Linked DNA regions of Elephas maximus indicus. The protein of the gene in region 1 binds, or shares a complex with, the protein of each later gene. Links are inferred from orthologs where the notes say so. Each region holds a gene or a part of one and is shown on either strand. Other genes may lie near its edges.

What was found.
Region 2: GATB (region 1) and GATC share a complex: the UniProt entries of both Homo sapiens proteins name them as parts of the heterotrimeric GatCAB amidotransferase (AdT) complex. The link is inferred for Elephas maximus indicus from reciprocal best matches to the Homo sapiens genes GATB and GATC.

Annotation. Positions count from the first base shown.
Region 1 is NC_064831.1:32,094,156-32,102,894, forward strand, and holds the start of GATB (glutamyl-tRNA(Gln) amidotransferase subunit B, mitochondrial), read left to right. Parts: upstream 1-5,420; 5' UTR 5,421-5,430; coding exon 5,431-5,606; intron 5,607-8,204; coding exon 8,205-8,355; intron 8,356-8,739. UniProt on the Homo sapiens protein: Allows the formation of correctly charged Gln-tRNA(Gln) through the transamidation of misacylated Glu-tRNA(Gln) in the mitochondria. The reaction takes place in the presence of glutamine and ATP through an activated gamma-phospho-Glu-tRNA(Gln).
Region 2 is NC_064840.1:17,838,644-17,846,898, forward strand, and holds the start of GATC (glutamyl-tRNA(Gln) amidotransferase subunit C, mitochondrial), read left to right. Parts: upstream 1-4,417; coding exon 4,418-4,621; intron 4,622-4,713; coding exon 4,714-4,886; intron 4,887-8,255. Other genes in the region: cytochrome c oxidase subunit 6A1, mitochondrial, read left to right, coding at 321-404; TRIAP1 (TP53-regulated inhibitor of apoptosis 1), read right to left, coding at 3,240-3,323, 4,293-4,439. UniProt on the Homo sapiens protein: Allows the formation of correctly charged Gln-tRNA(Gln) through the transamidation of misacylated Glu-tRNA(Gln) in the mitochondria. The reaction takes place in the presence of glutamine and ATP through an activated gamma-phospho-Glu-tRNA(Gln).

The DNA.
Region 1 (8,739 bases):
GAAGCTAGTTTGTTCTGTAAACCTTCATCTAAAGTACAACTAAAAACACACAAAAAAGCTTCATGTGTCTTGGTGGTGTAATTCTTTAACATCATACTTTTACTACAAAACATCTTCATATTTAAAACCAAAATGATCTGTCATATAAAAATATCATCTGTTATGAAACCTAAAAGCTCCTGATGATTATTTATACATGATCCTGAAATAAGATACTTGCTGCTTAAAAAAAAGTCAATGTGTTTATGTGTGTGTACAAGCTCTCTATCTTTAAAGGCTAAATACCCAATTCCAAAACACAATGGAGCGAGCTCCCTAGTGCATAGCAGGACTGTTGTGATCCAAAGGGTTTTCACTGGTGGATTTTCAGAAGTAGATTGCCAGGCCTTTCTTCCTACTCTGTCTTAGTCTGGAAGTTCAACATCATAGCAACACAGAAGTCTCCACTGACAGATGGGTGGTAGTTGTGCATGAGGTACACTGGCCGGGAATTGAACCCTGGTCTCCTGCATGGAAAGTGAGAATTCTACCATTGTATCTTCTTTCAAGTAGGTGGTAAGTCAAGGGAATTGTGTAGGGCTGAGGAGGGGCTTACTTGGGCATAATTCCTGTTTATTCTCAGGGATTAGTCAGCTTTCTGGATGAGGAGATGCCTGGGGAAATGGTAAACTGTCCCTTGAGACCAGATAGAAGAGGGAAGAGCATAGAGAGATTACAGTTTATGGGGCAGGAAGCCTAATAGCAGCTATGTATTGGCTTCATCTTCCCTAGATGGCACTTCATCTCTACAAAGACATTGGACAGGCTGTGCTATTTCCTCGCATTGGAAAAGAAGAAAAAGTTATAGATTTCTTTGCCTCAAAGCAATCTTCTAGAGAAAGCAATTGTTCCCTCCGCATCAGTATTTTATCAGAATCAAGACATTAATGGTAAAATAAAAGGAAACGAATCTTTTTCTCCCCATTGCCCAGCATGCATGCATTCCCAGTCTTTCTTTTCCCCCTAACGACACTTAACTGGATCTTAAAATGCGGATTTTCTGTGGAGGAGCTTTACATTTTCGGAATGCTTTTTCAAAAACAGGACCTCCTTTCGTTCCAGTGTTCTTCCTATCTGAAAACAAATTGGTCAATTTTCACCATACGTACATCATTTTAAGTGTTATTCCTTTGTGTGTGTGTTTTTAAAGAGAACTCACTCCCTAGCCACATGGCTTAAAATTCCAAGGCAGCTGGCTGACTTCTATTGCCTTAGAAGCCAGAAAACAGAGAGAAACTACAGCCCTACAGAAGGATCAAACCCTCAAAGGTGATTTCTTTAGAAATATGTTAAGAAATACTGAGATAATCGTCCACATTCAGCTCTATTGGACTGCAAGGAGCATTTCTTTATTAGTCTGCTGTCATTGTGTGCCGTTGAGAGGATTCCAACTCATAGTAACTCTACAGGACAGAGTATAAGTGCCCCATAGGGTTTCCAACACTGTAAATCTTCATGGAAGCAGACTGCCACATCTACCATGGAGTGGCTGGTGGGTTCTAACCGCCGACCTTTCGGTTAGCAGCCGAGTGGGTAATAATTGTGCCACCAGGGCTCCTTTTTATTAGTCCACTGAACTTTATTAAGGCATTGGCTTTGTTTCCACAGGACAAAAGCAGTTAAACAAAGAACAGGTTAGTTAACACAATTTTAAGATTCAAAAATGTATACATATCGATTTTCAGAAGCACTGCCGTGGTGCATTGTCAAAACTAATAGTGGAAGCTATCTCCTTTTAATTTGATTTGAAATCTTAATGTTTTCACTTGAATTATTTACTGCATTTTTTAAAAGGAAAGCTTAGAACTACGGGTATTAGTCTCACAAATTCTACCCGGGTAACTGAAGAAGTTATAACACCTAGAACACCCTGTTTTTCCTATTATCCCCCCACCCCGAATCAGTGAAAGGATATGAAAGGGAGTGATTGCAGTTACACACAACTCAGATTTGGGGGAAAAATGATCTGTGTTAAGAAATCAATACATTTATCTAGATACCTGGGAATTTTGAGTCAAACATAGAAGTGAGGCAGTCAGTTCCAACTCTGAAATTCCAAGAGTCTCTGAAGAATACTAAGCAAAAACCAACATGTTTCTTTGACATGCTTCCAAACCATTGCCATTCGTAAGTAACAACTCAAAACTCTTCTCTAGCTTTCATATCTTCTGAAAAACTTACTCTAAACCGATTTGTACTGTGTGAATTATGTGGATAAAATTAGAGCTGAAAGACTCTCCCTCAGAAAATGTTGTTTTTGCCGGGAACCCAGTCCTACTACCTCCTGAGTTCCTTGAAAATGAAAGTCTCTGTATCTTCCAGATGGCAGCCACCTTTTTGGTGGAACCAAAATAGCTCTCTCAGCTAGAGAGCTGTCTGTAACAGAGTTCTGATGGATATCAGATTTGGCATGCAGGAGGGAGGTAGGAAATGGTCCCAAGGGGCAGCACCTGACTAGCCAGGCAGGAGGGGCACTTGGCAAACAGTGCACTCATAAACACCAGACCAAGCAGAAGGAAATCAGCAGGCATTTCTGGAAATCATAGATAATCTTGTGGGAAAGGGAAGCCAGGAAAGTCGATGGGAAGCCAGGAAAGTCAATGAAAAGCCCTTATTTCCACCTTTGGCTCTTGTGGGATTTTGAAAGAGCCATGATTAAATGTAAGACACACTGAATTGGAAAGCTTTGACTTGTCAAATACACTGATATGCATAGGATTTTCTCTCCCTCCAGTGGTGGGGTAGGGGCTTTTGAAATGGTATCCTGTCACTGCATAATATTCTTCATAAACAAAGATGAGTTTCCATTATAGTGCATTTTGCCCATAAATGAGGATTTTCTTTGGGCATGTTGCTCTTTCTTAAGTGGTTCTCACAACAGCTCCAGCTCCCCTGTGTTAGGGAGTGAATGTTCTAAGTATGCGGATTACCAGCGGTAACAAGGGCCTCCCTCTACTTTTGGCTAGAGGATGCCCATGCTCACATTTGATATACAGGATTCTTTCTCTTGTCCAGTCTTATCAAAGGCAGAAACATGCTCTGCTCAGATGCAACTCTCCTGACCCCCAGTTGGGCCAGAACAACCTGAGGTGTTAAGTACGGAAGACAAGGCAGGCTTACCTAAAGGCGGTAAACACAGAAGTTCAGTGGAGAAAAACTCCTGAAAGTTCTAAAGAATGATCTGAACCTGATATAAAGGGCAATAATTAGGGGTAAATTTTGGAACAAGTCTTCACCTCGACTTTCCACTCTCTGTCAATTCTCTCATTTTATTCTTGGCCATGTGAAAGTGCTTCTGCTGTAATGTTTCAGATAGGTGATAGTGGATGAGAAAGCAGAAGAGATAGAAAAAGTAAATAATAATGATTTCAATTAGGGTACTTAAAAATTGCCTCCTTGTATATTAAAAAAAAAACTCATTGCCGTTGAGTCAATTGCAACTCATAATGACCCTATAGGACAGAGTAGATCTGCCCCATAGGGTTTCCAAGGAGCACCTGGTGGATTTAAACTGCCGACCTTTTGGTTAGCAGTCTTAGCTCTTAACCACTACACTACCAGGATTTCCAAAGTACATCTCAACATGGGGCTCAAACTCACAACCCTGAGATTGAGTCTCATGCACTATCGACTGAGCTAGCCAGGCACTTCCTAGTGTATAGAGGGATTAAATTGTGTAATATAACCACATCAGAGTATTATTGGAAATGAATCATTAGTTAATCAATAGGTTATTGATCAATAACTACTAACCTATTGGTGTGAAGTATGCAGAGTGTGCAGCTTTTTCCTCTGCTCCATAGTCAGAGTTAAGCATCAATGATGCTTACTTATCTTCTTGGATGTCTCCAAGGCAACCCAGCAAGCCCGGCTCTTTTATAGTTTCCTTATCTCAGTGAATAACTCCATCAGCCACCCAGGTGTGCAAGACAGAAATCCAGGAGTTAGTTAACCCTCCTAGTATCTCACCACCATATCCAATCCATCACCAAGTCTTTCAACCTTATTCCCTAAATCTACTAAAACTATTCTATTTCTCTTTGCCTCCACTGCCCCCCCCATTCACCAGCTCTCTTCAGAGCGACTACAGCATTTTTATGCAAATAACGGTACCTTCTGTGTTTGTTTGCCACTGCACCCTCCCCACCTGTGAGGTAAGCAGGTATGTTATTGATTTTACAGCAACATATGGAAGAGGACTGGCATGGCAGCGCTTGTGAGGGTGCCCCACAGAGCGGGGGGGGGGGGGAGGGGGCGGGGAGCAAGGCAGCCTGCAAACAGACGCATTGTGTAAAAATACCCTATCCCCTCTTCTAGTTCCTCCATTTAATCCTTGGTCAAACGCATTCTCCAAAATGAGCTACTTTATTTAACCACTATTAAAATTTTTAGAGGCCTACTTTGTGCTCAGGGACTACTGTGTTAAATAAGACATACAAGGTCCCCATTCTAAAGGAGGTTATAGAGACAGAAGATAAACATCAGAGAGTCCTAAGTACTAAGTGGAGAATTAAATAGCATGATATAATAGAGGATGGTTGAATGGATATTTTAGATTGCATGTTCAAAAACAAGAAGTTCTTGCAAGTTTCAACAAGGGATGTGAGTTTTGAAGCAGGAACCTCTGCTGGAATAACAGTATCTGCTTAGACTTCATCGCACATTAAGGAGAATAGTTTAGATACTAGCCAAGAACAAACAGGAGAGTAAGTAAAAACGCACCTGAAGGTTCTATCTAGGTCAGCCTGTTTCCAAGCGCCTCCGGTTAAACATATTATTTATTACTCATACGAAATTATCTTATTTTGCTAGCTCTTTTGCATGTCTCCTTTCCCTAGAAAGTAAGCTCCATGAGCTTATGGGTCATGACCGTCTTGCTCTCTGCTGTATCCCCAGGGCCTAAGAACTGTGCCTGGCGTATACAAGGCAAGCAAATAAGTACTTGTTGAACTAATGCCCAAAGGTGTGTGAACTGCGTTGACCGAGAAACTAATTGTGAGTTTGGCGATCCAGGAAGTCTTCGCCAAGATGTCAAGGTCATTTACATCGCAAGATTAATTGGGCTATAATATCACGGCCAGGGTTCTCAGCACCAGATCTCCAGCAGCAAGCGCTTACACTCAAAACTGACACACGCTCACAACCCTCTCCAGTCCCCCGCGAGGAGGAGTCACACCTCCCGACTTACAAATCACCCTATCCCGTCCTCTACTTCTCCTTTCCTTCCCTTCCCGACAGGGTTCCGGCCACCTTCGGGTCGCAATGCTCGCCGGAAGTAGTAGTCTTCCGGTCCGAGCCTTTAGAGTTTTTACACATTCCCGGAACTACGCCTCCCAGGAAGCCTCGCGGCAGAGGGCGGCTGTGTCACCTGACCAAAACGCTGGCGGTACAATGGCGGCGCCCATGCTTCGATGGGGCTGTGCTGGAAGGCGTTGGGCTTTCGCCTGTGTGGACGGTGGTTCTCGCCACGGACTAGGCGCTCGGAATGACTTCACACTCAGCGGGATGAGAGGACAGAGCTCTTTGGCTCTGCAGCCACTAATCACAGCCCAGAAGCCGAGGAAAGGGTATACTATTTCATGCCATTACAGCCCATCTAAGAGTTAGATGAAACGACGAGACGGGGGGAGATGGTGGTGGCCACTACGGTCGAGCCTTTTGTCTGTATGTTTTGGTGTGGGGCGGGAGGGAAGGGGAGGGGTTGGGCTGTAATTTGGAGGCTTGAAACCTAAATGAAAATACGAAACAGGTCTTCTATCAGCCTTGCCCCCACACACAAAATCACTGTCTTCGTATAGATAGGCGCATTAGAGGAACTCGGGAGTGTAAAATCGCAAGTGGTGCCTTGAATCCGAGGCTGCAGAGATAGAAGAGTAGATCCAGTCACCTTAATGTTAGCAGCGGGGTCGGTGACACTTGAAGAAGCATTATATTTAGCTGACATTAATTAGTGCTATTATCGGCCAGCACTGTTCCTAAGGTAGAAGGGGAGCCTTTAGTATAAACTCTGGATAAAAAACCAAAAGCCAGATCAGTCCAGTCGATTCCGACTCATAGTGATCCTGCAAGACAAGAGTAAAACTGCCCCATAGGGTTTCCGAGGCTGTAATGTTTAGGGGGAGCCCTGATAGTTTAGTGGCTACGCGCTAGGGTTGCAAATCGTAAAGGTCAGCAGTTCGAATCCAACAACCATTCCTTGGGGACAGTTTTACTCTGTCCTACAGAGTCGCTGTGAGTTGGAATCTATTCAACAGCAAAGGGTTTAGTTTTTTATTTTTTTTAATCCAGCTCTTAATGGAGGCCTGGTGGTACAGTGGTTAAAGCACTTGGCTGTTAACAGAAAGGCCGGCTCGCTCCACCTGAGAAAGCTGTGGCAGTCTGCTTCTCTACATATTAAGCAAAAAAAAAAAAAAAAACTCATTGCCGTGGAGTGGATTTGGACTCATAGCGACCCTATAGGACAGAATAGAACTGCCCCAGAGGGTTTCCAAGGAGCGGCTGGTGGATTCAAACGGCCAACCTTTTGGTTAGTAGCCCAACTTTTAACCACTGCACCACCAGCCTTGGAAACCAAGCGCTGGATAGTGGTGCCTTAATGTCATTAGTCAACAGTAGCTAGTTATGGAGGTGATTTATATTGAACATGTGTGTCTAGAACTAGAAGAATGCAGCAAATGGAAGAGATTTTCCCTCTTAATGTAGAAAGTTTAGTTTGTTTTGTTAGGTATTCTTTGAACAGCTGTTTATGCTTCGTCATATAAGACAAATGTTTTTTTTTTTTAAGTACAGAAACGTAAGACATGTTTCTAATATTTTGTTTATCCTGTGAGATAATTAGGGGAAATATCCTGAAGCATTCAGTTTCTGTCTTTTCATAAATTTCAGATTATCTCACTGTGAACTGAAAATAAATTTTTTTTCTCTCATGCAGTGTAAGTGTGAAAATACTTTGAGTAATGCTTCAGTGAATGCAGAATTTCTGATGAACTCTTAAGTTGAATTCCACTCAGTTAAAGGCTGTGTTCCCACACCTTAAAAAGAAGGAATTCATCTTCTCGCGATACTATACTATACTACGCTATACACTACTACATGCAGAGCTTCATGGGTTGAAACGATGAAAACAAAACTCAATACGTGTAAACAAAAATCTAGATAGTACAGAAAGTTGCTTGGGAGAAGAGCGTGCTTGGAACAGACAAAATATGGAGAGAGTGTGTGTAAACAGACCTTCTGGAGATTGCCCAGCGTACATGACTTTCAGAGGGAATAAGCACACTTAAAAGCGCCTGGAGAGACCTGTGCATGAAATGAATGGTGCAGACCAGCAGAGTAGGAGTCGCCAGATAAGAGGTTATTATAGCATTTAACGGTGCCTTTGCTATGAGTCGGAATCAACTCGACGGCACTGGCTTTTTTTTTTTTTTTTCTGGGTTGACTTGATAGCAGTCAAACCTGAAGAAATAAGCAAAGGAACCTAAAATTAGATCTTAGGAATTGAAAATCATTTTGGGGACCAAAAAAAATGTCACATGTAATGGTTTAATGTTTTCCTAGGCACAAAATTCCCAGTAGTACCATTTAGTGGTAATCTGTTATATCCGAGTCATTCTGGTAATTGTATTTGCAAGCCGTTGTTATAAAATGTATTCACAACATGATAGAGAATTTCCTTTTTTAATAATGAGATCTGGAATGATTTATTTACTGTTGTTCCTGTAATAATAGAATCTTGATGTTTATGTTAATTCTAAATAATGTTCACAAGGTCAGTTTTCTTCATTTACCAAGTGATTAATTGATAAGGGACAAGTAATTTAGAAAATGCTGCCTTTTGCCGAAGTCAGCCAGGCACTTGTCACCTGCTACCCATTTCTAAATTATTTTAAGATGCCAAATTGTTCCATTCTGTGTCACCTTTCTATTTGTACGGTGAACTCTGCTAACACCAAGTTGTAAATTAATTTTATTTTGCCAGTCTTGTTGCAAGGTGTTCATTATGACTTGTTTTTCATTTAATCACCCATAAAATAGGACACATTTTTTAAATGTGAAGATATAAAATTTTAGTAAGTTAAAAACACAATTAGGAAATGAATATTTGGGCTTTAGGCCCATAGAAATTCACGCGTAACTACTTCTTAACCGTGTGTCTTTCTCTTTAGTGAACACGAATGGGCAGCTGTGGTAGGTTTGGAAATTCATGCACAGATTTCTTCCAATTCTAAACTCTTCTCTGGATCGCAAGTCCACTTTGCAGCACCTCCAAATTCTTTGGTTTCTTTTTTTGACGCGTCTCTGCCTGGAACTTTGCCGGTAAGCCTTTTATTTAATCCTATTTTCATTAGTAAAATGTCTTTGTTTTCTTGAACATGGATAATGTTTTCCTTGTGTTAATATCCTGACGCAACTCTTAAGAAATACCTGTTTAAGGAATTTTATATGAAATGGGATACACTAAATGATTTCTAAAGACCCATCTCTAAAATTCTATTTCTAAGTCCAAAAGTCATCCGTTCATTCATACATTTTTTCATTTGTTTCACAGACATTTTAGAGTGTCTGCTAACCACCAGACACTGTTACGAACTGGAACACAAAAATGAGTGAAGATCCTTACATTCGAGGAATTTACAGGCTAGTGGGGAGGTTGTGTCCTATAAACAAATACAATGTAGTGCTATTATCCTGTGAAGTTAA
Region 2 (8,255 bases), on another chromosome or scaffold:
GCAGTTTGAGCCCAGCAGCTGTTTCACTTGAGAAATATGTTGCAGTCTGCTTCTTTGAAGATTTATAGCCTTGGAAACCCTGTGGGGCAGTTCTACTTTCTCCTCTAGGGTCGCATGAGTCGGAATTAACTTGACAGCAATGGGTGTGGTTTTGGTTTGGCAGCTATAAGATCTTCCTAAATTGTGGGAAGGCTGAAATATGTGAGTAGTGTAAGGACTAATTTCCGTGTTTTTTTTTTTTTTACATATTAAGCAGTTCACAGGCATGCTGTTTCTGAACTACTTTCTGGAATTGTCTAATTGACATCTTCACTCCACAGCCCTTTCCCTGGGGAGATGGTAACCATACTCTGTTTCATAACCCTCATGTGAATCCACTTCCAACTGGCTATGAAGATGACTAAAGAGAACCTGGACCACTACTGGGGACCACAGCACTGGTTTGGACCATTACTCTGCATGAGGGCCAGGAAGTGTATGGGACCTTAAGCTCACTTTTACTTGTATCAAATGGTGACCAATACACTGATCTTCCATTATTTTGCATGGGGCAGGAGATGCCGTAAATAAATAACAGTCATGACCTGGGAGTTGAATTGTTTGGTGGCATTTTTCCCTCAGAAGTTAGCATTAATGTTATTTCTCTTTCTGCATACTAGGGTCTGTGGCTGCTGTTTACGTTTCAGGTCCGGTTCAGCCCACTGAATAAGTGTTTACAACAGGCCTATATTGGGTTTCTTGTGTCTGGGGTGGGTGGTGCAGTGAAGCTAATGAATTATCTAGATTGGATCTTGACAGACTTTGAATGGCAAAGATGTGGAGTGGCCAGCAGAATGGCTCTGGTTTACATCTGAAAGAGGTACCTGAGACTTTCAAGAAAAAGTGCTTCCTCCAGGTCTCAGCTTTGTTGCTTCCCATTCCCTAGCATTTGCTGAGAATACTCCCTATAGCCAGATAACTTTTTTCTATCCTGTAGCTATAAGAATTGAGAGAAGCCCGATAAGAACTCCTTATCAAAATTTAAAACCTATGAAGTAGCTGAGGTAGTTGGAGTCACTTTATGGGGAGGATGAAGTCAAAATAGGGTGAGGAAATTATTCCCTCAGAAGCAATTTAACATTAGTACTTTTGGCACAACATGGCTATAAAGCAAGTTATTAATCTGTCTTTTAGACTTAAAAGTAGTATGAATAGGGTTAGATACCTGATGCTTGAGCATTGGAATTATACTTCAGGGATTCTTAAATCTATTTTGGTAATTAATTAGCTAGAATATCCTTCTCACTCCCTGAAATAAAACTAAAGAGGACTGCTCAAGATAATTTCCTACAAATTTTTCCCAAAAGTCAAAGGTTCGGAAGTGAGTTTCTGGGCTAGCATATGCAGCTTTCAGATCAAGCACCTCTCAATATGAGTTACAATAAAAGAACATGGTTGGCTTGCAGCTGGCTTATTCTTTTCAAAGCAAGGCTCAATTGGACAGTTTTATAGGAAGGTTAAAGAGGCTACAAGGTTTCTGTATGGCATAGTACATACATGAAACTGGTAGTGCAAAGGTGAGGTGTATAGAAACATGGTGGGAAAGCCACGCTCCAGTAAGAGAAAAAGAATCCCCGAGTTATCTTTGCCACCTGGTTCTCTAATCCAGCCTACACTTGAGTCCCTGTAGAGCTGGTGTGCTTGTGGTCAGTCTGAGTTCGGAACAGATATATTTAACTTCAGCTTCCTGCCTAACCTCCCTGGGCTGGATTCCAAATATCTTTTATAATCCTTATATAATGGACTTCAGCCAGTCCACACATATGTAAATGAAAAATGTTTTAGATGACATTAAGGACTATCACATTAAATATGAATTGGTAAAGTGGAGAGAACGTAATAGAATTTAGGTCTTCTGTGAATCAAGTTTTAGAGTTTCATATAACCTTTGGGCAAATAATAAATTGAACCAAATTCAAGATACACAATTGTGGGGGCTACACGATATTCTAAAGTATATAACTGTTCAGTGGGTCCTAACATTTTTTTTTTTTTTTTGCCACAATATAAATTTTTTAAGAAGGTATTTGCATAGCCTATTGCAGAAAAATGGAGCTCTGGTGATGCAGTGGTTAAGAGCTACAGCTGCTAACCAAAGGTCAGCAGTTTGAATCCACCAGCTGCTCCTTGGAAAACACTATGGGGCAGTTCTACTCTGTCCTATAGCGTCACTGTGACTCAGAATTGATGGCAACAGGTTTTTGATTTTTTATTGCAGAAAAAAGTTTTAGAAATCAGTAAAGTTGCAAATGGCTATACCATACAACCTAGCTTTAGCAAATCTTTACTTTTTCTTCACCTTTAAATTATAAAACATATAAAACCCTATTCAGTGTTTCTTTGGTGTGTGGGGATACAAGGTAGTAGTTGTTTGATGCACTGAAGTTGAAGGGCAAACAATGAGAAACTAAATGTTATGATTTATTCCATTTTCATGATTACAGATGTTAACAGGGCAAGATAAGTAAAGAAGGCAAATAAAGCAAACTCTTTTTTTCCTCCCATTTAACCAGATGCAGCATTTTGACATTTTTATGATAACACAGGTTGACTTAATTCATTGACTTGGGCTGGAAGCCAGCAATGGCAAATCTTTGCAACTTAGGATCTTTCTCCATAGCTACGCCAAGTATCTAAATTCCTGAACTACACTGTAATAGGCTCTGAGATAGTGTCCGCTGCAACACTTGAAGCTGTCAAATCTTAAGGCAAGGCTGTAAGTTTGTTAAAAGCTGTCTTCCTTTTGGCTAACCCAAGCTACCAGCGATCTTAACCGTTAAGTTACTATACAAAAATAAAACTATGCTCCCATGTTGGGGTCCTTTCTAGAGCATTAGCTTCCTGAGAGAAGTGCTAACCAATAGATTCCATGAACAATGACCCCAGGACAGTATACCTAATATCCTTTGCAGCCTATTTTATAGTTATTTACATATAAAGTCTACTTAAAGCTGATCCCAGACTAAGTATTGCAGCCATAATCTCAAGAAATCGTCTTTAGCACATTCCATTCCCGTAATGCCAGAGCAAGTGAGAAATTGCCTCGAAGCAAGTGAGAGGAAAGCATCAAGAAGGAAGGAATAAAACTCCCTCCTGAACTCCTCATCAAATCAATGGCTTTCTTCACAGTCTTAATTGACAAAATCCAGAGTCTTCAATTTGCTGATATGAGGAGTTCATTTTCAAGGTGACTGTCAAGGTCAAGAAGAGTTTTTAGGCTTTTCTTTGCTGTGGCCCATGAACTCCAGTCCTTCAATAGGAATCTCCTTCTCCTTTATTGCTTTCTGATGGAAGGAGAAAACACATCATAAAGGTTTATATGACGCTTGAGGACCAAAGTTTGTAAATAGAATATTGATGGCACAAAAGTAAAATCAGACTACCGACCCAGATTCAAGCCCCATGCCCTTTTTTTAATCAACAAAATTACCATTATGAAGCAATTAAATGCAAGACCACAGAAAAATTGGAAATGGGTGAGGAAACCATTAAATGTAAAAAAACAAACAAAAAACTATCACCACTCTTAGTGACAGACACGGGTTCAAATCTTGGTTCCAGGACTTGGTGGCTATGTGACCTTGAGGAAACCTCACTTTACTCATCTGTAAATGGGATAAAGATAGCAACTACATTCTGGAATTACCCTAAGGATGTTATAAGTTAACTCACTGGAAGTGCTCTGCCCAGTGCTGTTAGTTTTTATATTTAAAGCAGTTTCACATCCTTTGGGACTGGATCATAATTTCCTAGATGCAGCTGGAGGAATGTGGCTGAGAGAGAGAAACGGGACAATGAAGGGATTATAGCAAAAACAACGGGACCCTCAACAGGCTAGAAAAGCGCTAGCGTACGCGCGTCCGTACACACCACACACACACTCCCCGCCTCCAAGAGAATCAAACTTAATTCTAATGACTTGGACAAATCACTTCCTATCTCTGGGCTTGAGTTTTCCAGGTATAAAATACAAATAACGATGCCCACTTTGCAAGCTTAAGATGAGCACCAGATGGACCAAAAAATGTGCTCCGTCAAAAAGCACTGCAAACATACTTAATTCTGTCACTCAGATACCCAGGAGGCCTTGGTGATGATGGTATGGGAGGGGTCTCCTGCCACTGGCCTCATTGCGGCTTTTCCCCACCCTCCGGGTCCCAACCGCCGCACAATTCGAAGTTTGCGGTGGGGGACACAGTAGAGAGAACGCGGGGCCTTGGCGGTAGCGGCAGGAGGACTCGAGCCGGACTCACCTGAACACACTGCTGATAGCGCTTAAAGAGGTCCGTGCACGGGTCCCCGGAGCCGTCCCCCTTGAGGAACTTCTCAGCAAACCACCGATTGAAGCACTGGTCGTACTCGCGCTTCATGTCCGTGCATGCTTCCCCAACGCTGTTCATGGCGGCGGCGGCTCGTCAGGGCCGCACCTGATGTCATCACTCTCGGGCGCGTCGCTCGGCGTTACGTAACGGGCTCACTACGGGGGCTGAGAAGGCGAGAAATGTGGGCGCGGATGGTGAGGCTGGGCCTTCGGGCCCGGCTGGGCGGCTGCCGGGGCTTCACCTTCAAGGTAGATCCTCAGGTAAAGGCCTGGGCGTCAAGGCGGGTGGCAAAGCGGGCTAGGAGGCGGAGCAGGCCCCGTCCGTAACCCACGCCTCTGGCCTCGCTCCCCAGGGAACTGGTCAGGTCACCGCCGAGTTGATAGAACACCTGGAGCGTCTGGCGCTTGTGGACTTTGGTGGCCGCGAAGCCGTGGCGCGGCTGGAGAAAGCCATCGCCTTTGCCGACCGGCTCCGTGGCGTGGACACAGACGGGGTGGAGCCCATGGAGTCGGTACTGGAGGACAGGTAAACTCAGGCTGCGGCCCCAGAAGCCTTGAGTGTGGTGCTTTCGCAGCCCTATCAGGTGGCGATTAATGGTGTCCCCATTTCACATAGAGGAAAAGAGCCTTAGCGAGATTCAGGAACTGCCCACGGTCATCCCGCGGGTAAGTGGTTTCACTCTTCTCCTCGTTCACTATGGATCTTGTCACTCCCGTGTGTAAAGCCCTCGAGGCCTCCCGATGTAACTAGGAATAAAATCTAATCATAGCCTTCCAGGCCCTACCTGATGGAGCCGCCTGCCTACCCCTAGGACCCACCGCACTTCTCACTCAGTGACCTTCAGCCAGCTGGCCGCCTTACTGCTTGAACACGCCGAATTCTTTCCCTCGCTAGGATCTTTGCACTTACTGTTCCCTTTTTCTTGGACAGCCCACATTGTGTCAACAGTCCCTTTACTTCAGTTCTGGTTGTTCCATTTCCATTAATGTAGCTTCCCTGCCCCCTCACGCAACCTTCTCATCTTTGCTTTTGGGTAAATGTTGACCGTTTGGTCTCATATATATATTTTTAACGATCTTTTTTGAGAAGCTTCCTCCCAGCAGCAGACTTGTTTGCCATTTGGGGCTGCAACTTCTTAGAAAGAATGGGTTTGTAGCTTCTAATGATAGGAGCAACCTACAACCGTCTGTCCTAGTCTTTTCCTGATGTAAAGTGCTTTGTGAAATTTAAGTCTTATTAGGCACCTGTTTTTCCCACCTCTAGCCTTTGATTCCTTTGAATCTTTTCTCCACTTAGCAATCTGATGCCCAGTCTAGAGAGGTTAACCAATTTGCCCATAGTTACACAGCATTTCAGAACAAAAATTTGATGTCATTCCCCTACCCAAGCCCTTTAGGAGGCATCCCAGTGCTTTTCAGGATAAAAGCCTCCCCATATCCTAGCGCGCATCATCTGTTTTAGCCTCTGCCCACCTCTCCGAGTCAGTGCTATAATTCCTTGAGTTCTCCATGCTCTTTCCCTTCTAGAGCTCTATCTGGGTCCTATCCACTCCTCTTTTTTGCATACGTAATATCCTTGCTTCAGATCTCAACTGTCACTTCCTCAAAGTCTTCCTTCTGTTGTACTGACTCAAATTCCCTTTCAGTATACTGTGGCTCTCTCATGGTATTCAATAGAACTGTAATTTTACATATATTTGAGTGATATTCGATTCTTTTTCCTTCTCCCTCCATGTAGCCAAGCTCCAGAGAGCATATCTGGTTTTACTCATCATGTTCTCCGTGTCCAGCACTGAGCAGACAGACACTCAGTAAATGTCTGTTGGATGAGTGTTTTTATTAATATATTTGGGGAAGGTGGGAACAGAAGCACAAAAAGGAGTCAGAATTGCACAAGTCATCTAGAGGGTAACTATAAAGAAATGCAGCCATACTTAGGAAAGAGCCTGTGAAAAAGAAGAGGAATTTGGACTTGATAGCTGGAATCATAGCTTGGCACTCAGGGATCTGTCTCTTTCCATAAATTCAGGAACCAGATTTTTGTTAATGGCTCTATTTTAGAGATGTGACATTTTTGGGACACTCATGTTTTGAACAGACTGCCTCAGTAACGTTTGAAATAGAACCCACTGGAGACACGTGTTAAAAGGTTTTTAGGCAGTGTCCATACTAGCTGCAAAAACGCTGACTGGTTAATAGAAATCTCTCTGTGCATTAATAACATCTCATTTGTGTTAAGCTAAAAAAGATTAGCTTGCTTACACCAGCCACCAAGAACTTGTATGTATTATCTCAGTTATCACCTACAGCCCTGAAAGGTAAATACTGGTGTGTTTTATAGATGAAGAAACTGAGACTCAGAAAGGTTAGTAATGTGTCCAAAGTCTTATAGGCAGTAAGAAAATCTGGGACTCTGCTCTAGATAAGCCGTCTAAACTTAACCCCTAGAAACTTCATTCTCCTTCATCTCAAATCCAGAGACTGAATTAGTTGACACTGGTTGCAGCCAAATACTTCCGTGCTTCAGGTGTCCCTCAGAGCGTTATTTGAACCCAAAACTCTTAACCAAATCAATTAGCTCCCATTCCAGTGTGCATCAAACACAAAAGAATAAATTAGGAGAGAGGGAATAGGCTTTTAGATGAAAGTACAGGGGCGCCCAGAGAAATGACTCCTGCCAGTCTAATACCAGAAAAGAGGCAGAAAGAATCAGAAGCAGCATAACTGTCTCATTAGTCAGTCCACAGGCTGACAGAGCACATATGTCACCTCTCTGCTGCCACAGCACTTTCCATGGTTCTGTATTAGCATTTCCCATAGATTCTGGCTTAAGTGACTTGTCTGTGAACTTCAGAGGGCAGGGATTTCTAGTTCACAGTTGCACCCTTTCTCAAACAGTGTTTCTTATCCGAACTGGAACACAGAAAGATTTGAGTGATTATTTTCTCAAGTCTCCCAAGAATGGTACATAACTAATGCTAGTCCAGACGGATAGGAGAAAAATTGATTTATCATCAGAACTGGTGTCTTAGGGCATTTGGGCTAAATTCTCTTGCAAAACCCCAACCCCAATTGAGAAAGACAAGAAGTGAGGTAGACATTTAGTAAGTCAATCAGTAATTGACAGGCACTTCAGGAGTTCAGCTAGTCCCATTCTGCTGTTTAATACGTGGTTCTGAGGTCCAGAAAAGTTAAGCAATTTGCGAAGTTAAAGGTCTGCTTGGTGTGCTACCATCACAGAAACCCGGTAGTCTATGATTAAGAAAACAGGAAGGTGGGAGTCTGTTCTAGAAATAGCTATCATAAATAGTAATTAACTGGAAGTGTGTGGTATTTAAAGGGATGAATTTTGTTTTTTTGGAAATTTTATTTACATAGGAAACCTGATTACCAAATGATACTGAAAAAATCAGTTAGTAGATCTCCGTTGGGCTGCAGTAGCTTTAACCGCCTGTTGGTGGTGGTAGAGAGTCTTATGTCATCAAACTCTCCACACGTCCAGTAATTAGCAGTCTGGAAATGACAGGGGCCAGGCAGGTTATGCATAATTAAAAGGGCTTCGAGTAAAGGCATGGGTATACTTGGAGTGGTGTGCACTGACGTGTACCTGGGGTGCACTAACTGCTGAAAGGAGCCGCTGCTACTCAGCACCCACTTCTTACTGCCATGAGAATGGAGGCCCAGCATTGTCAAATCTTATTTTTTAACGTCATTTAATATTCCCAGCAACTCTATGACACATTCTACAACTGACGGAACTGAAGCATGGAGAGGCTAAGCGACTTGCACGTGTACCACGTGTGGCACTGGGGTTTGAATTCAGGTGACTCAAGAGCCAGAGCTCTCAGCCATTTTGTTAAACTGCCTGAACGAAATACAAACTCCAGAAGCCCAG